5 linked regions of the Ovis aries genome follow. The protein of the gene in region 5 purifies or fractionates together with the protein of the main gene of each other region. This does not show direct contact. Links are inferred from orthologs where the notes say so. Each region holds a gene or a part of one and is shown on either strand. Other genes may lie near its edges.

Region 1 (5,896 bases), on a different chromosome or scaffold from region 5:
AGCCCCACAGTTAATAGTTCTGTACTTTAGGCTGCAAGTTTTCATGTGGGAAATTCCAAGGCAAAGAAGTAGGAAAGCCATTTCTAACTCTCCAGTATCCAGGGAAACAACAAAAGGGGTAACACCTGAACAGGCCCAACTCTCTGCCCACCACCCACCTCTGATGGCCTTGACCCAGACAGACCACAGGACCTCCTCCTGCCAGCACCACTCCTGGCCTAATTCTTCCCACCCAATGCTGCTTTTTAGATCAGTGGTTCTAATACTTTATTGTGCATAGAAATCACTCAAGGGTCTTAATACAGATTGTGATCCAGTTAGTCTGGGTCTTGAGATTCTGCGTAACAAGTTCCTACGTGATGCTGCAGCTGGTCTGCCGTACTTTGAATAGCAAGGGATTAGAGCAAGTTTGTGGAGACATTCCCTCCCTCATTCCCTGAACCCACAGCCCAGGCTGCAGGAATCCTACAGGATATACCAATTCAGCAATGAGGGTTCCTTCAGAGACCATCTGTCCTCTGGAACAGTCTTTCCAAAGGCGGAAAGGTCTGCAGGATAAAGCCTGCCAAGTGAGATGTCCAGAAAGCCCCTTGCTGAGACTGGTGGGTCCTGAGACAACTCCCAACTTACATGATGCACCCAATGGACCATACGTCCACCTCGAAACTGTGCCCTTTCTTGCTCAGCACCTCAGGAGCTATGTAATTAGGAGTCCCGCACAGGGTCTTCTTCCGTTCCCCGTCATACTCCACTTTGGTTGCCAGTCCAAAATCCCCTGGGACAGAGGGAGGAAGAGGGAGGCTCAGATGCCAGCTTCTGTCGTCTGTCAATGCAGACAGCTGGTTCAGCTGGTAACCATCAAGAACCAGGGTCAAGTGATCTCTCAAAGCCTCTAGTCCTTGTGTACAGCAAGGACTAGATTCCTGTTACCCAGGAATCCTCCCACCATGCTGGCCCTAGGGAAGGGCCTCCCAAAGACTCTCATCACCCCTCCCCTTAGAAAGGAGGGGTTTACTTCTAAAAGGGAACTGACAGGGATCTGCTAAGTCGCTTCAGTCATGTCTGACTCCATGTGACCCCACAGACAGCAGCCCACTAGGCTCCTCCGTCCCTGGGATTCTCCAGGCAAGAATACTGCAGTGGGTTGCCATTTCCTTCTCCAACACATGAAAGTGAAAGTGAAGTCGCTCAGTCGTGTCCGACTCTTCGTGATCCATGGACTGCAGCCTACCAGGCTCCTCCATCCACGGGATTTTCCAGGCAAGAGTACTGGAGTGGGGTGCCATTGCCTTCTCCGACTGACAGGGATAGCAAAACTCAAACACCTTCAGGGATTAAGCAAGTAAATGTCAAGATGGCTACTTGGCAAGTTTGTGAGGAAGTGATACGGAGGGGTGGGGAATGTGGCAAACCATAGGGCATCTAAAGGGAACAGCTGCTGTTCAGTACAGCAAAGAGCTGTCTTGAGGGAACGCTACCCCTGTACTGCTGGAGCTCTCGAGTGTTTAAAAGGAGCTCCAAATTCAAAGTTTTACATCAAGGCTCTCAGTTTAAAAAAGTGAAAATGAGGAGCGGCTTCCGTGATGGCTCAGTGGTAAAGAATTCACCTGCCAATGCTGGAGAAACAGGTTCCATTCCTGGTCGGTGAGGATCCCATGTGCCACAGAGCACCTAAGCCCATGTGCCACAACTACTGAACCTGTGCTCTAGAGCGCTGGAGCCACAACTGCTGAAGCCTGCGCTCCACAAGGAGAAGCCACTGCAATGAGAAATCCGCACATGCGACGCAGAGTAGCCCCCACTCACCGCACCAGAGAAAGGCATGCAGCAGCGGAGACCCAGTGCAGCCGAAATAAGTAAATTGAAAAAATATTTTTAAAAAGTGAAAACAAATCCAAATTCTTAAAAAAAAAAAACAAACTGTATAGAACACACTGCCCCCCTCAAAGCACATCTGCAGACAAGACACTGGTTTGTAGCTCTTTAAGTTCCTGTCCTAAGAGAGGATTCTACAGCCAATCAACAGCCCAGACTTCCTACCATCCTCTTCCTCTCTCCCTTGTCTCTTTCCAAATTTCCTCTCCCTCACCCTCCCTCCCAGCTCCTCCTCATTCCCACTGCATGTCAAATGCCCTTGCAGTCCCAGCTCCTTACCTATTTTCACCTCCAGATCCTCGTTCAGGAAGAGATTGCCCAGCTTGAGGTCTCTGTGAATAACGCGGTTTCCGTGCAGGTACTGGCAGCCCAGGACGATCTGCCGCAGGTAGTAGCGGGCCTCGGGCTCCGTGAGAGCTTTCCTCCGCTTGTGCAGCTCCAGGAGAGACTGGGAGCAGGAGGGAAGGAGAAATGGGAGCCGGTGCTCAGACCCAAGGCAGGGAGGGAGTGTCATTAGGTAAAGGCAGCCAGGACGCTACTAACCATTTCTTCAGGACAACTGCGATCCAGACTCCCCCCCCCCCCAAAACCAGGCCGCAACAGTTCATAGCAACCCTCTCCCACTGGCTCCCTCCCAAAACCCTTACCTGGGACCCCTCTCTCAGACCCCTCCGGAAGCTCAGAGACCCCAGTATCCCGGTCCCGGAACTCTTGGCAGCAACAGGTCCCTTTCCTGCCCCTCCCCTCCCCCGGAAGCTCCGAAGTCTGGCTCCAACTACCCTCTGCCTGACCCAACCCTACTCGGGAAAGTGAGGGTCCGCAATATCCCTTACCTAGCAACTCCAAAGCCCTGGCGTCCATAAGCAAGGTTCTCCCGCACCTCCCCCAATCCGCCCAACTCCTAGCGTTCAGAAGCCGCCTTCCCTAGAGGCCCCAAGTGCCGAGAACCTTCCCTCTCCCCAAGACTTTCTCCATTTCCAGTTCCAGGTTCCCAGCACCTCTTCCCTAGCAGCTCTGAGCCCCGGGGCGCCCCTTCCCCAGCAGCTCCGGTTCCCAGTGCCCCAACCCCTGACGCCAGGGCAGTTCCAGTTCCCCAGCAGCGACACTCACCCTCCGGCGGCAGAGCTCCAACACCACGAACACGAAGTCGTTGTCTTCGAAAAAGCCGTGGAAGCCTACGACGTGCTGGTGAGCGAGGCTGCGGTGAATGGATATCTCCATGGACATCTTCTCCTTTTGGTGCGGTTTGAGCAACAGCGACTTAGGCACGATCTTGCCCGCGAACACCTCCTTAGTGTCCGCATCCGAGATCTCAAAGCACTTGGCAAAGCCACCCTTCCCCAAAAAGCGACCCCGTAGATAGCGCCGCCGGCTGCGAGGGTCCACTAGGACCTCCGGAATCTCTTTCGCCGGCGGGGCGGCCGTCGGAGCCCCGGGAGCTGCAACTCCGGGCGCTTTCCCTGGGTCGGCTGGTGCCCGCCCCAGCTTCCCTGCAGTTGCCGCCGCACTCATGTTCCCGGAGTTGCTCAGCGGACCTAGCAGGGTCTAGGCAGAGGCTTGGCACGGCTCTGCCTCTCCTCGAATTCAAACGCGGCGCCGGGAACGTTACAAGAGCCTACGCGCTACTGATTGGCCGCGGGGATTTAAAATCCAAACCCGCCCGCCGCGCGGCACTCTGGGAGCGCTCGGCACTGCAGCCGCCTTTAAACTCTCACCCAGGCCCTGGGAGGAGCTTGATTGGCAGGGATGGCGGACGGAAGACACGTGGGATGCCTGGGAAACCAAAGCTGGTGTGGGGCTGCTGAGACCCCGCCCCAGAAGAGGGTGCGTTCAGGGTTTCTCCTTTCTCGACGGCAGGGGAAGCTCCTGCAGTCCGCGAGGACCTCCTCCAGGAAGCTTTTCCCAGCACCTTCCTCCATCCCCACCTCGCCTTCTAGATTATAAACTCTGAGAATAGAGACCTAGAATGAGAGACAGCATGGGGGAGCCCTAACATCCGCCCCGGAAGTCACCAGCTCTCTTCCAAATCACCCCATAAACTAAAATCGAAGTCTAAAGAGAATGCTTGCCAGGCAAACGCATCTTCCAGACAAACCCCCTACTCTTCTTCAAATAACAGCAGGGGCCACCAACATCACCAACACCTGGGAGCTTGTTAGAAAGCCAAAGCTTCAGGCCTCAACGCAGACCCCCCCAATTCAGAATCTACCCAGTGATTCCCACACATATTGAAGTTTGAGAAGTACAGTACCAGAACCCCACCACCCCCGCCAGGGTCATTCTGCAAGAAAATTGTCTGGCTGGCTCACTGCTCTATTTCCCAGTGCCTAAAATAGTGGACCCTCAAGTGTTTTGTAAGAGGGAAAGATGACAGGTTGGCAGAATGCCTGGCAAACTGGTAAGCCAAGGTCAAATTTGGCTGCAGAGGTGTTTTGTTTGGTCTTTCACTTTTTAAAATTTGGATTCATATACAGGAGTGAAAAATCAAGACAGCTCACATAAAAATGCAACTTTGAAAAAACTATTAGCTGTTGCAACTCTATGCTTACTTAACATACCTTCCCAGTTTGTCAGAGTTCCCTGATAACCCTCCTTTGCCCCTTTGCCTGTCTGGCTTCCATAGATACTTAAGTGGCAACCCTGAGAATCACTCAAGTTGTAAGCCCAGCATCCTATGATGTCTTTGCTAGGAGTCAGCAAAAGTCATATCAGTTATCTCTTTACATAACTCCCAATAAACTCAGAGGCAATGAAGACATCTTTCCTACCCCATGTCCCAAGCTCTCAGCACAATGCTTGGCAAAAAGGAGTGACTAAAATGCTTTATAAATAAAAGGGAGTTGTTTTTAAAAATTATTATTTTTTAATCCCTGTGGTGTACAATATTGTTTTATCTTTTTATAAAGTTGAATCTATGTACCGAAAAAGTATACATCTGTTAATTGGACAGCTCAGTGAATTTTCACAAAATGAGTACACCTCATGTAAGCAGCACCCAGACTGAGAAAGAGTACACGACCAACCACCCCGTAAGTCCTCCTTGTGCCCTGGGGCGGGGGGGGGGGGGCCCAAGACCATCCCCCTACAGGACTCAGCATATAGTTCTACTCACAGATGACTAGGATTTATTACAGTGAAAGGTTATGAAGCAAAATCAGCCAAGGGAAAGGTGCATAGAGCAAAATCCAGAGGAAACCAGGCACAAGCTTCCCAGAGTCTTCTCCCAGTGGAGTCAGTCACACAGGACACAACTCCTCCAGCAATGAGTGTGACAACACGTGTGAAATGTTATCTACCAGAGAAGCTCATCAGAGACTCCAGCCCAGGGCTTTTCTGGGGTTTGGTCACACAGGCACCCTCTGCCTGTAACACACCAAAATTCTACACTCCTGGAAGGAAAGCAGGCATGCAGCATAAACCACAGTTTACACAGTTTAAATTCAGTAAGCAACTCCTGTCATTTAGGGAATGGTGAGAACTCTCCTGAAATTCAAGAACCCAGATGCCAGCTGAGGGTCAATCTTCCAGCTGACGGCACTGGGAGCTTTCCTTCAGGAAAAGGGGAAAGTTTCCAGAATATTTCTGAGAAATGAAGATCATAAATGCTCTCCCCGCCCCCAAAGCTCCCTGGGTGCCAGGCTTTTGATCAGCAATACTAACCTGACATTTTTTCAATAATCTTTTATTCTCATCCAGGCCTTTCATCCAGAAGGGCTGTGTGCAAGAGACATGGGAATAATTTTGCAGATAAATATTTTAATATAATTTAACTGGAAAAATATTCAGGAATTGATCAGGATATGTTATGGGCTGAACTGTGTTCTCCCCAAATTATATGCTGAAGTCCTAACATCCAGTACAGAAGGTGACTGTATTTGGAGATATGGCCTTCAAAGAGGTGATTAAAGTAAAATGGGTGGGCCCATCCAATATGACTGGTGTTCTTATAAGAAGAGATTAAGACACAGACATTCAGACAGAGGGGCAACCATGTGAAGATACAGTGAGAAGGCTGCCAGGT
Region 2 (5,995 bases), on a different chromosome or scaffold from region 5:
TGGAGATTTTACAACAAAATGATTTCTGGCTGGTCTCGGAAGCACTGATGGAGTGACAGGCACGGATGCTCCTATTCGCCCCATGAGGCTCCACCACCTGCTACTGGCGGAGCCGGGCTGCAGTGCCACTGTTCACCACCTGACCTGGCCACCTCCAGTCACCTGGGTTACCTGCCTCGCCCCTCAAATGGCTAACCCCAAAGGCCAATCTTGCAGGTGGAAGATTCTAAGCAGCTCTGATTTTGGGGGCGAGCGGGGAGGAGTAGCATTTACTAAACCCTCAGGCTGTGCCCCAGAGAAGGCACTGGCACCTTAATCCAGTACTCTTGCCTGGAAAATCCCATGGAAGGAGGAACCTGATAGGCTGCGGTCCATGGGGTCGCTAAGAGTCAGGCACCACTGAGCGACTTCTCTTTCACTTTTCACTTTCATGCACTGGAGAAGGAAATGGCAACCAACTCCAGTGTTCTTGCCTAGAGAATCCCAGGGACGGTGGAGCCTGGTGGGCTGCCATCTATGGGGTCGCAAAGAGTCAGACACGACTGCAGTAACTCAGCAGCAGCAGCGGTGGGCTGTGCCCAGGAGACGCCGTGTACACACACAGTCACACTGCAAACCCCCAGCTCAGAGAGAAGGGAGTGAGTGGTTAAGGGACTTACCTCAGTTTCTAAGAGAGGCAGCAGGGCCTTACATGAAGATCCAGGGGCCCCTCTCCCCAGTGCTGCCTGCCTCTCCACGGAAGCAGGGGGCAAGACTGTGTCTCCGCTGGCACCCTCCCCCACTAGCCAGCCCCCGCCCACCAGCCCCACCATGAACACTGAGACCACCAGCTCCCCACAGCCAGCAGCAGGCCCGAGGCATCGTCTCCCGCAACCTCACAAGCACCCTTGCTTTCATCACCCCGATTTCACAGCTGAGGTCTCCACACCTCTGAGACATCGAAGGAGCTGCTGAGGATACAGCTGCCACATGGCAGCGTCAGGATCTGAATCAAAGTCTTTTTGGTTCCAGACTCTGCCAACCTGTGAACCAGTGACCAGAGGGCTCCCCAACCGTCCACCCCTCTGAGGCCAGGCCCAGCCAAGCGCAGGTATCAAGTGGCCAGGCTCCTGCCCCCACCCGAGGGCTCTTCCTGTCCCCTGGCCAGGCTCCCACCTTGATCTTCTGTTGATAGATGTTGTCATCCTCAGCATATTCTTTGTATAGGACAGAGAGCTCCAGCCGCTCCGAGACCAGTGGGTTCTGCACAGCAATCTGTGGGATGGGGAATCCATTACACTCTGACAGGCAAATGGAGTGACCCACACCTGTCAGCCCGAACATCTAGCTGAGAGTGGCTGGGCCAGTCACCCAGCGGCACATGGACCTCACATTCTCCCCATAAAGGCATCTAGTATCAGCTCAGCCTGGGGAGGAGGGAGCTTCCACAGTAAAGACAAACGGTAGGCCTCAGTCCAACCAATGTATCCCCAAAGTAAGGCCACTGGCCACAGCCACTCACCTCTTGCTGAATTCGGTCCTGCTGAGCCATGATGGCTTCATCATAAGCAAGACAGTTAACACCTGGAAAAAGGAAGAAGGCCAAGTATTACAGTGGGCCCTGGCTCTCCCCACTCCAGGAAGCTGGGCCGAGGACAAGAACGGGCCAGGAGAGCAGACGTGCAATCTGGAAGCATGCATCATGCCCTGCTCCACCCCAACTGTGGGATCTTGGCAAAGTCCTTCCATTTCCTGGGCATGAGTTATCTCATCTTTAAAGGGAGGAGGCCAGGGACTTCCCTGGAGGTCCAGTGGCTAAGGCTCCGAGCTCCCAATGCAAGGGGGCCTGGGTGTTAGGTAAAAGACGACCAGGACACCAAAAGAGTGTCTAACAGGCTTTAATGGCGAAGCGCTCCCGGGCGGGGTTCCCGGACCCGCCCAGAACGTGTTAGAAGTTTGTTTATATATGCACGCTGCGAGGGATGGCCAGGTTAGTGGATGGGGGTTTGGATAGGTTGCCGGGCCGAGGCGTCACGGGCTGATACGTCCTTCTACGTGGCGGAGGTGGGGCAGCTTTAGCTGGCAAACTGTGCTGTCACTGGTCCCCGGGATCTGGGAGGCCCCTTCCTTAGGGACTTCCCCCGCCGACGGGGGAGGGAAGGGGCGGCCCATCATGGCCCCCCGGGGTCCGATCTTACACTGAGTTTGATCCTTGGTCTGGGAACTAGATCCCACATGCCATAACTGAGACCTGGCACAGCCAAATAAGTATAAATAAATGGTGGAAAATAAAGTAAGCAGGCCAAGGTGATCGCCCCCCAGGGTACACTCTTCCAGCTCGAACAAGCCCTCTCCCCCTGCTCTCTAACATCACTTCCGAGCAGCCCGGAAGGCCCCTGAGCCAGGTCTATTGAGGAAAGACAGATGAGGAAGCAGACCATCTTCGGCTAGATGAGCGCTTTGCTTTCCTCAGTCACACCATTCCTCCACCTGCCATCCTGGGTATTCGTAGTGGTGCCCATTTTACAAAGAACAAAAACGCAGACAGGTGAAATCACCTGCCCGAAGTCGCGACGAGGAAGACCTGTGGTCAATCCCAGGTTTGTCTAATTGCAAAGCCTGGGCTCTTTGCCACAATAACTCCCCTGGCACCTCACTGCAGAGGCTCATCATCAGCTGTGAATAGAGACAGATAGCACCACCTTCCTCCCTTCACTGTGATGCCCTGAGGAGATGGTACCTTAAGAGGTGTAGTTCAATACTCATCACTGAGTTGGGCGGGTCCACCCTGTGGGCCCCATGCCAAGCAGCCACTGGTGAGGAGCCAGGAGACCTGAATCCTGGCTCTGGTTCTTTCTTAACTTACACGATCCTAAACCAGTCCCTTCGGGGATTGGGGGGAGGGTCTAGGTCCCCAAAAGCTGTTTTTCAGTGTGCGGTTAGAGAGGGAGCTGTGTGCTAAATGACTTTTAAGGCCAATCCTTTTGATCTTGAGCAGGCCGGGGCCTCAGCTGGGCTTCCACCCACCCCCGACACTGCACTGCAACTGGGCCATCCCTCCCAACCCTAGTGACCTCCTCAGTCCCCAGTGTCTAACTCAGGGGTGAAAAGAAGAGGGTGGGACCGTTTTGAGAGGTCCAACTCTTCAGGGGTCTAAGGAAACTATGCCGAGACAGGAAGCAAGGGGCTGCGAGGCTAGGAGAGGGGACTCTACCGGAAACGAAGGGCGCTGCCCTCCTGGGCACACACCTACGGCCGCTCACAACCCCGGGCGGCCCGCAGCATCCCCAGCGGCCCGCCCAGTCCTTTGTGCTCCGCAGCCCGGCGTAATTCGACGCCCTCCCGGGCTCGGGCCGCTCTGGAGGAGGCGGACTAGACGGGGCCGGACTAGGCCCGGGCCTGACTGCCAGGTCCGGGGCGGGAGAGCCGGGACCCGGGAGCCGGACGCCCAGCGGGGAGGGGGCTGGGCGGGGGGTGGAGGGGCGGAGCGGCCTAGGCCCCGCCCCAGGAGCGCGCGACAGGGAAGAGTCGCGGGCCGGAGGCCGGCCCGCTTTCTCTCCCGCCGCCCGGCCGGCCAGGGGTCGCGGCGGCGGCTCCTTCCATTGTGAGGGGGAGGGGAGGCGGCGGACGCGGGGGAAGGGGCCCTCCGCTCGCTTCGCCGCCAGCCGCCCCAGCCCTGGTTTCCTCGGGAACCGGCCATCCGGCATCGCCCCCGCTAGCCCAGGCCGGGCGGCTCTCCCCTGGTCGGTACCTTCGGAGTCGCTGCCAAGCGGCTCCTGCTTCTGCTGCTGAGGTTCCTCCGCCGCCATCTTTAAACAGCGCCGCACTGCCGACCGCTTCCGGGTTACTAGTCGGCCTCCCCCCGGAAGACAGCCCCTCCTCGAGGCCCCTCCTTGGTAACGCCCCTAGCAACGGGATCCCCTCGGGCGTAGTCACCCGAGGGGCTCGCAGTCTCGTTCGGCGGCGGCGGAAGCCGGGGAAGTGAGGGCAATCCCCGCCCGCCCTCCTCCCGCACACTTGCTCGGTTCCATCTTTCCAGGCTCCCAATGTGCCAGGTGGTGATAAGAGCTTCCTGGGGCCACTTGAGTTTTCTTTTCACTAGAGTTTGAAACGCGGATTGTATTATTGAGATAAGCAGGAAAATGAAATTCAAATCACGGAAGGCAATTCCCGCTGCGGGCTCCAGAACTCAAGACAGGCGAATGCAATGAGGATCACTTGGCCGAGGAGACCGGGAATTCTGCTAATATCCGAGCTCTGGGAATTCACCGCCCCCCTCCACCGAGTCTCGGTTCCGAGCGGGCTTTGGTGTCCTGCTTCTGACCGAGAGACCACGTCCCTCGGGGTCGACCTTACTTTGGACTACCTGCCCTTGTGGTTATGAGAAAATCAGGATTTTTTTTTTTTTTAAGATAGAAGTTGACAACAATGAAAAACAGATTCGTGGTTCCCAAGGGTTGAGTCGGAGTAAGGAGGGAAGTGGATGTGGTTATAAAAATGAAACAGAAGTATCCTTGTGGAGACAGAAGTGCTCTTTATCTTGAATATATATGGAGATCCTGGAATATGCTGTACTGTAGCTTCAAACGCAAGATGTTACCAGTGGGGGAAAGTGGGTAAAGGATACCCAGGATCTTTCTGTGTACTCTGTTAAAATCACCTGTGAATTATCTAAAAATAAAACTTAAAAAGTGTCAAGGCCTTGGATGCTGAAGATGCAGTTATTTAGAGAAGTCACCTTCAGGGGTACTGTTCCTTTGCCTTTCTCTATGGAGGGCCTTTTCCATGATATGACAGTGGTCTCTTAGCACTTGAGGAGGCCGTGTCTGAGCCCCAATCAGATCCCTCCGTTCATGATAATACAGGTGCAGAATAGGATGAATATCTTCATGAGCTACATCCAGTTCTGGAGTAGGGACGGTTGGTGCCTGGGCTCACCACACTGCCCACAGTGGCGCTCTCACAGCAACGCTACACATGCCAAGTCTTTGCCCCAGCAACATGGCAAATTACTATTTCCTAGGTCACCACCAATCCTTGTGTTTGCTTCGAAATTCAAGGAAGCAAAGGGGCTACCCATTTGGATCCCACTCCTACCACACTGGGCTTCTCGGGCGACACTAGTGGGAAAGAGAAGCCTGGCAGGCTGTCTATCGCCCAGAGTCACAGAGTCAGGCATGACTAAAGCCACTTAGCGCAACACACACCCAGAGTACACACGCTGTTCATTCCTTTTCCCAGTTTTGCCAGTGCAACCTGGAACTGCCAGTTGGAGCTTCAGTTAGTAGCTTGTGCATGCCGTGTTCAGGCGTGGCCGACTTTACAACCCTGTGGACTGTATCTCGCTGGGCTCCTCTGTCCATGGGATTCTTCAGGCTAGGATACCGGAGTGGGTTGCCATTTTCTCCTCCAGGGGATCTTCCCGGCTCAGGGATCAAACGCGGGTCTCCTGCATCTTCTTCCTTGGCAGGTGGACTCTTTGCTGCTGAGCAACCTGGGAAGCCCTCAGTCAGTAGCACTGGTATTACCAAACGAGGAGCAGTCGGTGACAAAAGCGTGATTTCTATTTTGGCTTTACAAAATCCTGAGAATAGCTGTAAGACAACTCCACCTTTACCTCCTTACTTTGACTAGGGAGTCTGGCGGGTGGGGAGCACGCAAAGGGGAGCTGGATCGGGATTGGTGTGGGGACAGAGAATACAGTTGCTCTGGAGGGCGAGAAGGAATCCGTCTGTGGTCCAGTGCTGGACTGCGGCCATGCTGCCAACGCCAAGTAAATGCCTCCCTCAACACAAGGGTCTGGGGCTGAAAGAACGGATCTCCACCCTCAGTGGATGCAGGGTGTGTAGCTGAGGGGCTCTCCCGCCTGCTGCCCACCCTCCCCCTCTTGTCAGGCCGGGGGAAGCTTTGGCTCTTAATCCAGTGTCAGGATGGTCAACTTTTGCCCTGCTCTTTTCCATGTCAATTTGGTGATAACTAACTATTCTCTTACCCTCATTCCATCTTTCTTGATACT
Region 3 (5,366 bases), on a different chromosome or scaffold from region 5:
AACCCATACCTAATATCTAAAAATAAACAACCAATCTGTTTCTAATCTCTTCCGCACGTGAACCATAACTGAGTGGGGTAGTGAAACACGACACGTGTTGGCGCCTCCGTGTGCAGCACATCCACCCATGTCCAGGAAAGGCACCTACCGCAGCCCCGGGCTCTCCCTTGGGCTCCCCAGCATCGGGCTCTGTGTCCTCAGTCTTGATCTCAGCCTTCATCTCCAGCAGTGGCACCTCGGGGCCTGGCTGCTGGGAGTTGGTTTCGGCGCTGGCCACTGAGGATGGAGTGGGGACCCTGTTATCAATGCTGGCTGCTGTCTGGGAAAGCTGTGGGGAAACCAAAATCACTTATCTTTGTAAACAACACAGATGATCTTAAACCCTGTTGCTCACCCAACAAAGATCCATGTTAATCTTTCTCAATACTAACCTAATAGGCACCCCTATTTGAGAGAATTGAAGGATGCAAGAGTTAAAGGAAGAGTTCCAGAGAAGTCATCAGGCAGAGACACAACTGACTTCTTGCCAACAATGCAGAGATGCGAGAGCAGAAGCTTTCTACACTATGACAGAAAATTATCTTCTGGGAATTTTCTACATAAGTCAGAGAACCTATTTTAAATTCAGTTCTTTCCAACAATGATACTAATGGTTTTGTTAAAAGGATGAATAATAAATATGTGTATATACACTGTCAGAAGGGGAATAAGGTACCTATATGGATTTCCCAGACGGTAAAGCGTCTATCTACAATGTGGGAGTGAAGTGAAGTGAAAGTTGCTCAGTCGTGTCCGACTCTGAGACCCCATGGACTATACAATCCATGGAATTCTGCAGGCCAGAATACTGGAGTAGGTAGCCTTTCTGTCTCCAGGGGATCTTCCCAACCCAGGGATCAAACCCAGGTCTCCCGCATTGCAGGCGGATTCTTTACCAGCTGAGCCACAAGGGAAGCTCCAGGTTTAGTCCCTGGGCTGGGAAGATCTCCTGGAGAAGGAAATAGCAACCCACTCCAGTGTTCTTGCCTGGAAAATCCCATGGACGGAGGCGCCTGGTAGGCTACAGTCCATGCAGTCGCAAAGAGTCGGACATGACTGAGCGACTTCACTTCACTTGGAACAAGAGTGTATAACTAGCCTGTTAACTGCAGGAACAGTGGTAGAGGAGTAAACAAATATTAAGAGATGAAATCTCCAAAAAAAACTCTCAAGTTTTCAAAGATTTACCTGATAAGAGTTTTAAGTAAACAAACAAAACATAACATTATAAAGGGATCTTATTCAGAGATAATATAAAATAAGAAACAAGAAGAACACTCCCTATGGAAAAATAAAAAGTGTCATCTTGGGACTCATCTTGGGATTAATTTTGACATTTTATAAATAAATATCCTCAGTCCCCACAAATAAAGTTAATGCATTTCAGGGGGAAGGAAGTTTTTAAGTTAGGCTGGTAAGAAAACAGATACCATGGCTCGGTGAGGAACAGTAGCCTCAGGCCCCTGGGGTGGGTGGGGATGGCCCCACGTGGGGGGGCCCGGCCGGCTGCCACAGCAGAGCACAGGACTGGGACACAGGATGTGCTGTGACCCTGCCACTGCCACCTCCCCGGAGGAGTGGGGAGATCTGAGCCACAGAAGTGCTAACCTGGCTGTGCCATTTTGTCATGAAAAAGAAAGAGCTTCCAGCTGGAAAACAAGGCTGACGGATAAGGTCAAAGTACGTACAATTAAAAACCTGACTTGTTTACCAAACCCTCAAGACAACTAAATCTCAGGGATCACCACCTGTGACAGGTGACGTTGCTGTGGATAGTTCAAATATTCTACAGAGGACCCATGTACGAGCTCTTTCAGTTGCTGATTTCTATAAGCTGGTTTAACTGGGAAGATAATCACAAGTCATGTCCTGCCAAACTTGGCCTCCAGAGCCCATTCTGGAATGAACATACAGCCTGTTACAGCTCCATCAGGTTGCGGACACACACGCTGTGCAGCTGCACCAAGACCTGTGGTGCTTCACGACCAATTGTTCAGGGGCAAGTTCTCATCTGCAACTCTGTGGGCAGACGGCCGCAGGCCGAGGGGCTCACCGGGGTGCCAGGGGGCTGCGTGTGCACGGGTGTCGGCTGCTGCTGCGATGACTGTGGGGTGGCCACCGACGGAGGCTGCACTGGGGTCTGAGGCTGTGGGGTCACCTGGGCCTGGGCAGCTGCCTGGACCGTAGGAGTACTCTGCGTCTGGCTGGCGCTGGGCACGGAGCCGGGAGTCGGGGTGGGAGTCTGCCCGGAAGACGACGCGGGAGTTGATGGCTGGGTAGGCGCCGCCGGCTGGGGGGGTGTCACCCCGGGAGCTGCTGGGTGCTGCAAAGACGGCATGCCAGCGGCTGTGGAGGCGGGAGGCGGGGTCTGATGCAGTGGCGGCTGTGTCACTGGTGGGCAAGGCAGCTGGCTGGCCTGGGGCCCAAGCATGTTCAGGGGGTTGGGAAGAGCAGCCCCCGGCACCTGCCCCTGACAGGCAGAAGGAAAAGAGAGAGTTAAAACTGTTCTCCCCTCCGTCTGACAATGTGGCAGCAGACATAAAGAATTAAATATATGAGAACCTGACACGGTTTCCGGATGAGGTCTGCTGACTACATGGGAACGTTCCGCTTGTAACATGTCATTGACCTGCACACTTATAGTAACCTGCTTTTGTAGTAATCAGACTTTGATTTACGTAAGTGTAGAAATCTCTGGCTTAAACAAACACACATACACTCCAGTTACTAGCTCATGTTCCATAATATCCACCAACAGCTAAGACCACTGGAAAAGGTATTTGTCTTTTATAAAAAAAATGAGTTACTCAAACACTGAAATGTTTAAATATGGTAGTTCTCAACTAGGGACATGCTTCAGAATTACCTGTGGGCCAACTAAAAAGCTACTCTGAATCTAGAGCAGGGATCTGCCAACCACACAGGGCCCAGGGCCAAACCCAGCTAGCTGCTGGTCTCTGTCAATAAAGCTTTATTGGCCAGCAGCCTGTCCATTCACTCACATGTGAATGCACATGTCTATGACTGCCTGTGTCACAACAGTGGAGCAGAGCAGTTCCCCCACGGCCCACCAAGCTGAAAATATCTACAGGACGAACCTGTCGACCTCTTTGCTAGAGAAATAAAATTTATGCAGATTAAGAATTAATTAATAGGCATCAGGCTTCCCTGGTGGCCCAGTGGTTAAGAATCCAACTGCCAGTGCAGAGGGCACAGGTTCTATCCCTGGTCGGGGAAGATTCCACATGTCGTGGGGCAACTAGGCCTGCGCGCCACAACTACTGAAACCCTCAAGCCTAGAGGCCAGGCTCCACAAGAGAAGCTGCCCCGGTGAGAAGCCTGGGCACTGCGCCAACAGTAACTTCCGCTCACTGCAACTAGAGAAAGCCCACACGCAGCAAGGAAGACTCAGCAAGCCAAACATAAATAATAACAAATAAAATTTTAAAAAACAATTAACTAATAAGTATTTATTTAGTGAATCTAGTGTAGTCACTGCCTCTTATTCAATGTTATTCATGTTAAGTTAAATAATGAATCTGACCTCTCAGGAGAACAGTTGGTCTGTTTTAAATATGTGTACATTTGTACACAGCAGCAATCTGATGCACTCTACCAGTTAATAGAAGTCGGGGAAAGGCAGTAAGGTGAGTGGAAAACAGTCCCCGCCAGCGTTATACTGAATGAGTGAAAACACACTCAATAAGAAGGGAACTACTCAAATGGCCCAGTTAGCTGGACTTCGCCTGGGCAGTTTAGACCAACAGGTGCTGAACCATTAAGCGTGAACTCAAGGGATTTTTCCTCCCTCCCTCTTCAAAAACCAGCGTCTCTCAGGATCACATGTGAAGCTTAGAATTTAAAACATACAAACAAAAATTAAGAAAATGACAACTACAACGATGGACAGTACCTGTGGAACGCCAGCCTGCGCCGCTGGCTGCCCCATGCCCACGCTGCTCACACTCAGCGCCCCGCTGGACGACGGGAACTGGCTCTGCGGGAGGAACTGGCTCTGCGCAGGCGCCTGGGCCATCATGCTGTTGGCGTGCGCGCCCATCATGTTCGGAGGCTGAGGCATTCGGGACGGAGAAATGGCCATCTACAAGACAGCGTGAGCCACTGCGTTTAGAGGGCTGCAGGGCCCGTGTCTCCAGGGTGAATCGAAAGAGAGGGGAATCTGCAACTCCCCCCGTCACAGGAGGGGACCCCCCCCATGCACTAAGACCTCCCTGCTCCCAGGCATTCTGCACACTTTTCCACGCAGGTCTCTAATGAGCCAGCTCCACACAGTCCTCTGAACAGAAATCAACAGCATGCCATAGTATAAAGTTCACATACGCCTTTTAGGAGTTCTCGGACTAGTTTAGAAAGCAGCCTCAGGAGAGGACGCTCTGAGAGCCAGCGGATGCTGACACCTTTCCTCTCATTCTGTCACACATCCCCAGAACTCCCATCTTCTCACAAAGTCACAGGTGCCAAGGAATCTCTCATTTCAGTAAAAATAAGTGACGGTCAAATAATGCTTGTAGTAATAAGGACCAGAGGGCGAGATGGAGTTGCCAAAGCACAACACTATCCAAAGGAACAAGCGCCACAGGATTCCCAACCTCCAAGCTCCCGCGGGAGAACTGTCCTGTTGCAGCAAGCCCGTCTCAGCACAGCTGAGCGGAGGACAAGCACTTACCCCTGGAACAGAGCCCATGCTGTTCATCGGGACAGAGTGGTTCATGGGGGATGCCGCACGCGGTCCCATGGGCGCTTGTGGCAACTGTACGTTCCCCAAGGATATTGGGTTAAATGAATTCATCCCTGTAAACGTACCCACAACAGTTCATTAGGAAAAGCACCCACAGGAAAACAGAATGACGATTTGCTAGAGAAACTTGAAGCCAAATAAGATGGAACACACACACTACATACACAACTGAAAGGAGACCAGTCAATCAGAAAAGATGGCTGAGCAACAGACTGCTCAGATCCAGGAACAACGGCACCACCATGGGGTGGGGAGGCGGTGGGTGGGGAGCAGGCAGGGCAGCGTGAGGAGAGGAAGGTGGCGCGTCAGGGAAGCTGCGAGCAGCTGAAGCCAAGGCAGCACTCGGCGCCAGAGCATCCCAGGGTCCGAGTGACGGGGCAGATGGGTGGGTGGGGCGGTGGGAAGGAGCACCCACCACGCATGGAGGAGGCCTGCTGAGGCCAGGGCACCCTCTGAGCCAACCCCTCAGAGCCTTCTGGACCACCTGACTCCCGGCAGGAAGCCCGCTCCCATCACCCCAGGCCCTCCAGCTCTTTGGCTGGGCTTACATTTATTGTTAGAATCTGGG
Region 4 (5,366 bases), on a different chromosome or scaffold from region 5:
AGAAACTGGAAGCAAGCTGCTGGCTGCTGGCCCATGTCCTGAGGCTCGGGGATCTCAAACATGAGCCCTGATCACCTCCCATAGATAGAAAATGACCAGAGAGGGCAGAGCAAGAAAACACAGGGTCTCCTGCTGACTACTCTGAGCCTTGGCTTTTTCATCTGGAAAATTAGATCACTTCCTCCTCCATCACTTGTCACTTAAGTCAGAGTAGTGACACGTAAAGGCAGGGAGGGTAGCACAGTGGTACAGGAGCGCAGGAAGTGTGGACGGAGAGAGGCCGATGGGTGCGCAGCAGAGCAGGACAGAGCAGCAGAGGAGAGTGGGACAAGGCTCAGGGAAGCACGGGCCGCGGAAGCACGCGTCGGCGTCGGTGTGAGCGGCCCCAGCGCACACGGGTCGCAGCAGTGCACAACTGTGGACACACAGGGACAGTGCCTTCTTTGGGGCTCTGGGCTGAGTGCTTTTCCACCAGAATAACAGCTTGAATAGGCCACCAGTCTCAGAGGAGGGTCTGGGCACTACGCGGAGGTGGCCAGGGACTCACCACAGGCGGGAAGGACAGACCAACCTTCCCCGAGGAAACATTCCCCACCAAAAACCAAACGGTGAGAGCGAGCTGGCTACACAGTGGGCACCAGGCAGGGGGCGTCCAGGCTCCATGTCTGTGGGCGGGAGGAGAGCATAGTGCAAAGCCCGATAGGCAAGCGAGGGTGACTGCGGATCAAGGTGAGGCTGTGGCATCAGCGAGGTCAGGCTGGCCACACAGGGAAGAGTCTCCATCCAAGGGTTAGTGGAAGCACCAAAAGTATTAACACACTTAGGTCTGAGTTTGGAAACAGGTATTTCAGACTCCAGGGAAAACAGGCCATCTGGTATTCTATCTCCTTTCCCTCCATGCCATTTACCCTGGCACCACAATGCCATCGTAAAGAAAAGATTAGAAATAAAGCAAAGTAGAAATGCCCATGGACAGGGCCAGTGATTAGGATGCAGCATTCCTGAGGAAGGGCGCATGGGTTTAATCCCTGCTCAGGGAACGACGACGATCTTGTGTGCTATACGGGGTGGTCAACGCACGCACACAGACATACACACACAGACACACACACACACACACACACACATGCACACACACACAAGTACACAGACAAGAGAGCAGGGTAGATGGTAGTGGTGAATAAGAGATTTTTACAGTTTCCAGAAGCAACTGTGTGAAGCAACTCGGGAGACTGGGGTGGACCCTGGACGATCTGGCAAGACTGCAGCCCAAGTCCCAAGTTGTTCCAGTTCTCCTTGCAGAACCTCGAGAGACCCAGTGCTTGGAGCGGCCAGGCCCAGTGAGGAGTAGAGTGAAAACAGAGCAGTGCTTTGGACGTCCAGACCAGGAGGAATGAGACTTACTCTCTTTTATTAAAAAAAAAAAAAAAAAAAAAAAGACCAGGCAACCCAAGCCACGTGGCTTCTTAGGTGTCACAGTGGTGAGGAACTTGCCTGCCAGTGCAGGAGGATCCAAGAGACACGGGTTTGATCCCTGGGTTGGGAAGATCCCCTGGAGGAGGGCACGGCAACCCACTCCAGTACTCTTGCCTAGAGAATTCCATGGACAGAGAAGTGTGGTGGGCTACAGTCCACGGGCTCGTAAATAGTCAGGACATGACTTCAGTGACTTAGAACGCGTGCAACCATGGCCAGGGCACGAAGCCAAGTGGGCCCAGATGAGAACCTGCACCGTGAACAGGAGGCCCCCAGGCCCGCCCCACCCCGCTCCAGTCTCCCAGCAGCCAGGTCCCTGCACCGCCCGAGGCAAGAATCTGAAGGCCTCTTCTTCTGGGAAGAGTAAACACCACCAGAGAAATCGGACTAGGCCTTGAACATCCCCACAAAGGCCAGGGGATGCCCTGACCGGCCCCAGCGGGCGGCTCACCTCCCCGGCAGCATCTTGGCGATCTCGGCCCAGCGGTTGCCCAGCACCTTGTGGGCCTCGCAGATGATGCGGTCCTCCTCCTCCGTCCAGCAGGACTTCTTCACCTCGGGGTTGAGGTGGTTGTGCCAGCGCTCACGGCACTGCTTGCCCAGCCGGCCCTTCAGGTGCTTGGCAATCAGCGTCCACTGCTTCGTGCCATACTTCTTGACCAGCTCGATGACCTTGGGGGAAAGACGCTGTGAGGCCAGCGGGACCCCCCCCACCCCCTGTTTCCCACCCTAGCACCCACCAGTGGGATGTCATCCTCAGTCTCCTGACCCCCTCCCCCGGGGTGCGTGAATGCCACGGTGTAGCAGGCTCAGGCCCAGGCGTTACCTTCTGGTCCTCCTCTTTGGTCCATGGCCCTTTGACGAGGTCTGGATTCAAGACCCTCAGCCACCGATACTGGCACTGCTGGTCAGTGCGGTTCTGGGAAAAGGACAGGCATCCTTGAGAACTCCTGGCCTGTGGCCCTACCTCGTTCCCAGAACCCCCACACACTACACACCCACGGTCCAGGACACTGTGGTTCCCTTTGCTACAAGTGGGCCTGGATGGAAGCAGGCAAACTCAGAACCCTGTGCAGAGCCACTGCCCACAACTGCCCTGTGCCAGCCTGCAGGCTACATCAGGGATTCTCGCTTGCTTCTGAAAGGGGCTATTTCCCTGAAGGTTTCAGACCCTGTAGAGGACAGGGAGTGAGGAATGGGGCCAAAGGGTCTGGTGACCTGGTCCCCGAGCTGCCTGATGAGCCAGGAAAGCCAACAGCAGCTCCTGCCACATCCCCTCCCTGTCGGCCACCTGCAGAGCTGGGGGTGGGGGATCCTAGGGGGAGCCACATCACCAGGAGGCTCTAGATGCTGGACATGGTGGCTCGGGTCAGCTCTGCGGGGGCCTCACCATGAAGCCTGCTCAAGCATCATTTCCTCTCAGGTTCAGTTTCACGGTTGAGAAACCGAGCAGCCACTCGTCAGTGACTTGCAGGAAGAAATGCAAATATGCCACTGATACGACGCATGATCATGGAGCCTAAGGCCCCCAGGCACCCAGAGGCTGCCACGTGGGGACGCTTACATCAGGGTGCCCCGATTCCAGTTTGGGTAGAAAGGGCCTCAGGAGGCTGGAAGGTTGTTTTGTTGGGAGAGCTCGGGGGCGCCTGGTAAGGAATTCTCCTTTCTTCTCCCTGACACCAAGTCTCTCCCAGGCTCCCTATCCGGGGGAGAGGGCGGCAGAGGGGCTGCACTCACGGGAAAGTGGCTGGCCAGGAACTTCCAGTCTTGCTGTCCAAACTGCTTCACCAGGGCCTTCAGCTGCTCGTCCTGCCAAAGCCAGGAAGACAGAGGGCTCAGTTCACACGCGTGCAGAAAGCGGCTGCTCTGGACTGAGACCCACCCTCCCTCCAACAAAGAGAACAGCCTCATTCATCCATTCACGTGATGAAGTGATCATCTAACTGTGCACCAGGCACGCCAGCATCAGAGCTGCTCAACTTTGGGGACTTAAAGTCTAGCGGGAAGCAGACGCTAATCAAAGGCTCCTGCAAACAAAAGGAGGGCCACTCTGTGCTGCAGGGATGGAGAGATGGACAATGAGGCCTATGGGGGACCCAAGGGACAGGCTCCAAGGAACTCTAGTGAGGCTAGGCTGCAGGAAGCAGGAGACAGGGAGGCAAGAGGATTTGGGGGTGGGGGCGGGGGCGGCGGGGATCAGAGCACACGCAGGGTTGACTCAGGCCTCTGCGTCACGCAAGGCCACAGATGCACTGAAGCATCACCACTGACAGGTGGTCACAGTCCAACGTGCTTGTTGTGAACTTCACTTTGGCAGCTGCAGGAGAAAGGGCTGCAGGAGGGCAGAATGGAGGATAGGAGGCCATTACAGGCATCCAGGCCAGAGACGACAGTGACCCAGCCCTGGAGACAGGGAAACGTGGGCACTTGGAATGGAAAAACATATCTGTTAGAACACTCTCCTGAACATAAACTCGTTCTCCTGAATATAAACTATTGATTCATGCAACAACATTAAAATCACAGTATCATTAGGATGAGAAAAAGAAGTCAGACATAAGAAGAGTACACATTGCTTAATTCTGTGCAGAGGAACTTCTAGAAAAGGTAAACAAAGCTATAGGGACAAAAAGATAGTCAGTGGTGTCCATGGTCAGGGTTGGTTGGTGGGTGGAAGAAATGAACAGCAGGGAGCAAGAGATGCCTGGGGTGATGGGAACACCCAGCAAGGTGGTGTTGCTGTGAGTTTCACGGCAGCACATCCACTGAAACTCACTGGATTGTACTTCAACAGTTGTAGCTGTTTGTGTGTAAAATATTCCTAGAGCAAACTGACTGTTTTTACCCCCTGCAACTCGTAGGTTCTCAGTTCCCCCATCAGGGATTGAACTGAGGTCCTCACAGTGAAAGCTTGGGGTCCTAACCACTAGATGGCCAGGGAATCCCCCAAACTTATTTTTTTTAATTTATACATATAAAGAAAATGTAGTATTATCCATACAGTGGAATATTATTCCGCCTCAAAACAAGGAAATTCTGTTACAAGCTACAACCTGGATGAACCTTGAGGACATTATGCTAAGCAAAATAAGCCAGACACAAAAGGACAGAGACAGCCTAAGTCCACTCATATGAAGAATCTAAAGTAGTCAAAAATAAAAACCAGGGACTTCTCTGGTGATCCAGTGGCTAAGACTGTGCTCCCAGTGCAGGGGGCCTGGGTTCAATCCCTGATCAGGAAACTAGATTCCAAATGCTGCAACTAATGATCCTGCATGTGGCACCGAAAAAATGATCCCATGTGCTACAACGAAGACGAGGGCAGCCAAATAAAAAAAGAAATCAAAAACAGAAAGTAAAACAAGGTGGTTGCCAAGGGCTAGGGGGAGGGGATGGGGAAAATTAGTGTTTGATGATTCAGCTTTCTTTGCAAGATGACAGTTCCAAAGATCTGCTGCACAGTGAGAATACGCTTCATGTCCTCAACAGACACTTGAGAACAGTTACAGTGGTTTAACATTCGGTGTTTTTTCACACACTCTCTCTCCCGGGCAGGAGGAAAAAAAAGGCCACCACAGACATCCAGACCCTCAACTGCAGCTTGGCCACAGCCCAGCACCAGCTGGACAAAGTCCCCATAAATCCTGCTGTGGGGCCAGCCCACGTCCACACAGTCAGCTCCAGACACCATACCCTCCCTTGCTGCCCATCCCACCTGGTCAGGCCAACCCTTGCCTTCTGCCCATGTCCCCTGGGTCCATCTCCAGCACCACCATCCTCCCTGACAACGGGGGTGGACAACTCCCCACTCTCCAATTCCTCCTGGGCCCCATGGGCCCCTCCACCTGTCGACTCTTACCTGAACTGCCCTCATCCCGCCACAGCCATCT
Region 5 (5,366 bases):
TATATGTTAATAGATGATATTTCTTTTTCTGACTCACTTCACTCTATAACAGGCTCTAGGTTCATCCATGTGTCTGCAACTGACTCAAATGTGTTCCTTTTTGTGGCCGAGTAATATTCTTCTGTATATATATGTACTATAACTTCTTTATCCATTCATCTGTCAGTGGACATCTAGGTCACAGCAGAACTCTCAGCCTCACACTCTCACCTCAACTAAATTCCCCAGCTTCCTGATTTCTTTTTTATTTTTTTGCTGCACCTTGTGACTTGCAGGATCTCAGTCCCCCGACCAGGGTTTGAACCCAGGCCCCAGCAGTGAGAGCACTGCGTCCTAACTGCTGGTACAACAGGGAACTCCCCAGCATTGTAATTTCTACCCCCACCTCTCTGGCTACCGGTTTTTGCCACAGCCTCACTCATCTTTCCCAGCCCCCAACAGCTGTTTAGGTCTCTGCTTTATTACCACCTCAGCAACAGCCCCAGTCTCTGTCCCCATGGGACAGCTGGGTTGGTAGCCCAGGTCACCTGGCCTGCCAAGCGGACAGTCCCAAGAGCAGCCAGCAGCCAAGGTTATGAGACACGAAGCCAGGGGCCAGCGGAGGTGGCGCTCGCAGAGCCAGAGTAGCTGATGAGCTGTGTCCTCCACTTTCAGAACTCCATCCGCCACAACCTCTCTCTACATGACATGTTCGTCCGCGAGACGTCTGCCAACGGCAAGGTCTCCTTCTGGACCATTCACCCCAGTGCCAATCGCTACCTGACACTGGACCAGGTGTTTAAGGTAAGCATACTGGTTTTGTCCAAATAGAGCCAGTGCTGGAGGTCATGATGTCCATCCATCTCAAAAGAAAACAAGTCCTTGGTGGGGAGGGGGGAGGCAGGCAGCCAACCTTCGGATAGGAATCCATCCTTCCACCCCCTCTGCCCTACCCCACCCCCAGCTGCCGGCATCCTAAATAAAGCAAACTTTCCTCTCCACCAAAAATAAGAAAGAAGCAAGTCCTCCTTGGGATGAGCTTGTCTGCTAAGGGCAGAGTTAAGGGCCAACCAGCCCATAAGGAACAGCACCTTCTCTGCTAGACCAGGCCCCAGAGAGGACTTCCTGTTCCAGAAAGGGGACCTCCTGGGGCAGGATGGCCCCTACTGCCCTGTGATAAGAACTACCTAGGATACTTCTTAAAGTACAGCCTCCCAAGCCCCTCTTGGGGCTTCTGATTCAGTAGGCCTGGGATGGGCCCAGGAGTATATTTTTAGCAAGAATCTCAGGTGATTCTTGGGTTTTTAAAAAGCCGATTTTTACAGTGGAGAGTAGAAACGGAGCCTACAGAATCTCTCGTCAGAAGCGATCACTTTGGGTCTTCAGAGTGCCCACAAGGCTGCCACTAGCCGCCTCCACTCTCCCGGGAGAGCCCATAGTTGAGGGTGGCCCTGGGCGTCCATCCGGAGTAGGTGTATCCATCTGGTCAGCTTGACTGCACTGGTGGTAACTTGGTCTCATTTCTCTCCCACAATGCCCATCCACCACCAGCCACTGGACCCAGGGTCTGCACACTCGCCCGAGCACTCGGAATCAGTAAGGTTCTTTCCCTCCCGCTCGGGGCTCGGCCTTGTTTCCCCTCCACGCTCAGCATGGCTTCGGTGACGGGGACAAGGTGTTAGCCGGAGACGGGAGCCTGTGGCCGTGTGCCTGCCAGCCCTGGACGCAGAGCCTTGCTTCTGGGCGTCAGGACACTGGTGACTGCCACCGCCTCCCACTCCCGTGGACTCATCAAGGTGGCCTGAGCAGAGCACGTGTGGCAGGGGGACCTGCCACAGGCTCACTGCAGGATGCTGATGAGGTGCACGGCACAGGCCCAGCGGGCGGCCGTTGCTCTCTCTTCTCTACCTGGCTTTTCTTTGCCCTCCTAGAGCTCCATGCTTTGCACCCTGGGGGTGAGGACACCTGGATGAGGTGGGAGGATCGCCCGCCGCCCTGTGCCTCTGTTGCCAACTTCCGGGACCAGGCGGTTGGTCCACTCCATGCCCGGTCCCAGAGCAGCTGCTGGTGGGGTCCCCTACCCCGTCCCCCTACCCTCCTGACCCAGGTCTGTCTCTCTCCCTCTCTGTCCCAAACAGCAGCAGAAACGGCCCAACCCTGATCTCCGCCGGAACGTGGCCATCAAAACCGAACTCCCCCTGGGTGCACGTTAGTATAGGGGGAGGCGTGGTCCCTGGCACACCCATAGTGGGGGCAGATGCGGGAGTCAGAGCCCAGGGAAGGAGAGCAAAGAACCCAGGGCTGGGAGGGGACCCGGCCCTGGACCTGCTCCTGACCGATCCTGTTCCCCCAGGGCGGAAGATGAAGCCACTACTGCCGCGGGTCAGCTCGTACCTGGTGCCCATCCAGTTCCCTGCAAACCCGTCGCTGGTGCTGCAGCCCTCGGTCAAGGTGCCCTTGCCCCTGGCAGCCTCGCTCATGAGCTCAGAGCTTGCTCGCCACAGCAAGCGAGTCCGCATCGCCCCCAAGGTCAGTGCCTCAGGTCTTCTCCGAGGAGAGACTCCAGTCCGTGACGGGCTCTGCTTCATGTCTGTTGAGAAGCTCGTAAATTTAGTGGGTAGACCAGGCATCGATACATAGGAAAATGCAAGTGTTATAAGAGCCAAAAAGGAACTTGTTAGGGACTTCCCTGGTGGTCCAGTGGTTAAGACTCCACACTCCCAGTGCAGAGGGCATGGGTTTGATCCCTGATCAAAAAACTAAGATCCTGCATGACACTCAGCATAGCCTTAAAAAAAAAAAAAAAAAACCCTAGTAAACTGTCCTTAAAAAAAAAATTCCCAATAAAAAGGAACTTTACAATGTAAGTGGTATTGGAAGGCCCACATGTGCCTGATGAGTTTGTGAGAATTGAGATGGGGGTGATTGTTATAGCAGATGGGCTGGGAGGTTCAGGAAGAGTTCACTAGGGAAGCAGGCTTAAGAAGTAGGTTGGGGCAGCAAACAGTGTGGAGAGGGCCTTGTAAAGGGCATGGCCTGGGGCACGCCCAGTCACAACCATAGAGTGGCTGGACAGTCTAGCCCTGGGTTTCTCGACCTCCAAACAGCTGACATTCACGGCTTCCCAGGTGGCGCTAGTGGTAAAGTACCGGCCTGCCAACTCAGGAGATGTAAGACACTCGAGTTCGATCCCTGGGTGGGAAGATCCCCTACAGAAGGAAATGGCAACCCACTTCAGTGTTCCTGCCTGGAAAATCCCATGGATAGAGGAGCCTGGTGGGCTACAGTCCATGGGGTGGTAAAGAGTCAGAGGCGACTGAGCATGCACAGTGCTTTGTGGGGGCGGGGTGCCACCCTGTGCCCTGAGGGATGCTTAGCAACCGCATCCATGGTCTCTTTGCCGGATGCCAGGAGCACCGCCTGGTGTGACAGTTAGGACATCTTCTGGTGTTGCTGGGAGTCCCCTGGGGAGAGCTGCTGCTGGCTGAGCCTCAGCGGTCGAGCTGGAAGGCTGGAGAGGGCAAATTACAACCCCACCATGACATAGAGAAGAGTCTGTGAGCAGGACCGGGCCTGTAACAGATTAAGGAAGGGCCCTTCTGCCCCTTTCTCAGAGATAGAAGTAGCTGCAACTTCAGATAGAGAGACTTGGGTTTGCTTTTGTTTTTTAATTTAAAAATATCACTTTAATATACATAAAAGTATATATACCGGCATAGATAGTTTTCCTTAAATGCCTTCATGTGATTGTAGCGTGGGTAATGTTTCTGTTTCAGTGCAGTCTTGCAGTTTTTTCCTCCTTCATTTTGCCTCTCCTCACCTTCCCCATGTCCCCCTGCTCCCCGTGATAAGCCATGTTGACAGTTTAGCGTGCCTTCTCCCATGATTCCTTCATGCTCTTAGTATGCTCTGCGCACATGGATCACCGTAACCATGTTACACATGCACACACACCACCCAGAGCCTTGTCGTATTGCCCTTTCTGCCCCATGGAAATTCTTCCAATCACTTGTCATCACTCTAATTCACAATTTTATTTAAGATTTTTTTTTTTTACGTGGACCTTTTTTTTTACGTCTTTATTGTATTCGTTACAGTATTGCTTCTGTTTTATGTTTTGGTTTTTTGGACTCCAGGGATGTGGGATCTTAGCTTGCCAACCAGGGGTCGAACCCAGGTCCCCTGCATCGGAAGGCGGATTCTTAACCACTGGATCACCAGGGAAGCTCCTTATTCGCTATTTTTCAATGGCACATAATAGCCCATGATGTGGCTGTGCCATAAATTTTCTAACCATTCTGCTTTCATGGGCACATTTTTTTCAGGCTTTTTTGCCCTATGACCAACATTGTAATAAATACCTTTGCAAGTATCTTTCCTTGCTGGTGCTTTCATTTCTGTGGGTAGAGAACAAGACATGAGATTGCTGAGGGGGCAAGTGTTTTAAAGTTTATTAAATACTGCAAGATTGATTTTAAGAAAAATCTGTGATAACTCACATACATACCAACAAGCCCTGTTTGCCAGCAATTGGTATCATCGCCCTTTTACAGTGCTTGCCCATGTCCAGTGTGTGAAGGATACTTGCTTGTTTCATTTCATCTTCTTCTCCTTATGCGTAAGTCAGCAGCTGCTCACCATGTTCGGTCACTTGGAATCGTTCACTGTGAGATGCTTATTTACACTCATGGCCTGTCTTCTTACAGGGTTTTGTTAAAAAGTTTATAACTTGTCTTTTCAGATATTTTTTACTCCTCTTGCTTGCTTCTTAACTTTATGATCTCTCTTGCTGCAGTAAGATTTCTATTTTTATATAGTCAAATATGTCTCTCTTCTCTTTTACAGCTTCTGGGGTTCCAGTCTTGGTTTAGAAGGTTTACCCTGCTGCTGACCCTCAGATTATAGACGTACTCTCCTAGATTTCCTTTCAGGATTTGAATGGTTTTAGTTTTTCTGATTAAGTCCTTGTATGAAACAGACATCCACTTTTATTTTCTCTTGGATGGGTGCTAATTACACCAGCGCCATAGAAGATGCTCTTTTTACCCCCAGAATTAAACTACCCCCTTCATCACACAGTCTTATATTTAATAGTCTTCAAGACTTTGAAGACAAGAGGATCGGCACCAAACCATCACGTCATTCATCTCAGCGATAAGCTTGGGTTCCCCCCGCCCTCCGGAGCCTGATGGCCTCTGCGGGGCTCCCTTTCAGCGTGTCCTGCTTCTCTTCCAGGTGCTGCTAGCGGACGAGGGGGTGGCCTCTCTGCCCACGGCAGGACCAGTGACAGAGGAGAAGCTACTCCTCGCAGAAGGACTGTCTCCTCTGCTTCCTGTCCCGTGCATCAAGGAGGAAGATGTCCAGCCTGGGGAGGAGACACCACTTCT

Evidence for each region.
Region 1: the proteins of FOXM1 (region 5) and PLK1 purify together in Homo sapiens (affinity purification with western blotting; 5 studies listed by BioGRID, with this or other methods). This does not show direct contact. The link is inferred for Ovis aries from reciprocal best matches to the Homo sapiens genes FOXM1 and PLK1.
Region 2: the proteins of FOXM1 (region 5) and OTUB1 purify together in Homo sapiens (affinity purification with western blotting; 4 studies listed by BioGRID, with this or other methods). This does not show direct contact. The link is inferred for Ovis aries from reciprocal best matches to the Homo sapiens genes FOXM1 and OTUB1.
Region 3: the proteins of FOXM1 (region 5) and CREBBP purify together in Homo sapiens (affinity purification with western blotting; 5 studies listed by BioGRID, with this or other methods). This does not show direct contact. The link is inferred for Ovis aries from reciprocal best matches to the Homo sapiens genes FOXM1 and CREBBP.
Region 4: the proteins of FOXM1 (region 5) and MYBL2 purify together in Homo sapiens (affinity purification with western blotting; 3 studies listed by BioGRID and IntAct, with this or other methods). This does not show direct contact. The link is inferred for Ovis aries from reciprocal best matches to the Homo sapiens genes FOXM1 and MYBL2.

Annotation. Positions count from the first base shown.
Region 1 is NC_056077.1:21,879,494-21,885,389, reverse strand, and holds the start of PLK1 (serine/threonine-protein kinase PLK1), read right to left. Parts: upstream 3,495-5,896; 5' UTR 3,388-3,494; coding exon 2,986-3,387; intron 2,324-2,985; coding exon 2,155-2,323; intron 776-2,154; coding exon 631-775; intron 1-630. UniProt on the Homo sapiens protein: Serine/threonine-protein kinase that performs several important functions throughout M phase of the cell cycle, including the regulation of centrosome maturation and spindle assembly, the removal of cohesins from chromosome arms, the inactivation of anaphase-promoting complex/cyclosome (APC/C) inhibitors, and the regulation of mitotic exit and cytokinesis.
Region 2 is NC_056074.1:38,766,252-38,772,246, reverse strand, and holds the start of OTUB1 (ubiquitin thioesterase OTUB1), read right to left. Parts: upstream 3,810-5,995; 5' UTR 3,789-3,809; coding exon 3,731-3,788; intron 1,564-3,730; coding exon 1,502-1,563; intron 1,255-1,501; coding exon 1,156-1,254; intron 1-1,155. UniProt on the Homo sapiens protein: Hydrolase that can specifically remove 'Lys-48'-linked conjugated ubiquitin from proteins and plays an important regulatory role at the level of protein turnover by preventing degradation.
Region 3 is NC_056077.1:3,648,247-3,653,612, forward strand, and holds part of CREBBP (CREB-binding protein), read right to left. Parts: intron 4,852-5,366; coding exon 4,727-4,851; intron 4,142-4,726; coding exon 3,953-4,141; intron 2,510-3,952; coding exon 2,093-2,509; intron 329-2,092; coding exon 149-328; intron 1-148. UniProt on the Homo sapiens protein: Acetylates histones, giving a specific tag for transcriptional activation. Mediates acetylation of histone H3 at 'Lys-18' and 'Lys-27' (H3K18ac and H3K27ac, respectively).
Region 4 is NC_056066.1:72,203,948-72,209,313, reverse strand, and holds part of MYBL2 (myb-related protein B), read right to left. Parts: intron 3,286-5,366; coding exon 3,214-3,285; intron 2,396-3,213; coding exon 2,303-2,395; intron 2,149-2,302; coding exon 1,928-2,148; intron 1-1,927. UniProt on the Homo sapiens protein: Transcription factor involved in the regulation of cell survival, proliferation, and differentiation. Transactivates the expression of the CLU gene.
Region 5 is NC_056056.1:212,732,104-212,737,469, forward strand, and holds part of FOXM1 (forkhead box protein M1), read left to right. Parts: intron 1-654; coding exon 655-783; intron 784-1,530; coding exon 1,531-1,575; intron 1,576-2,117; coding exon 2,118-2,187; intron 2,188-2,332; coding exon 2,333-2,508; intron 2,509-5,214; coding exon 5,215-5,366. UniProt on the Homo sapiens protein: Transcription factor regulating the expression of cell cycle genes essential for DNA replication and mitosis. Plays a role in the control of cell proliferation. Also plays a role in DNA break repair, participating in the DNA damage checkpoint response.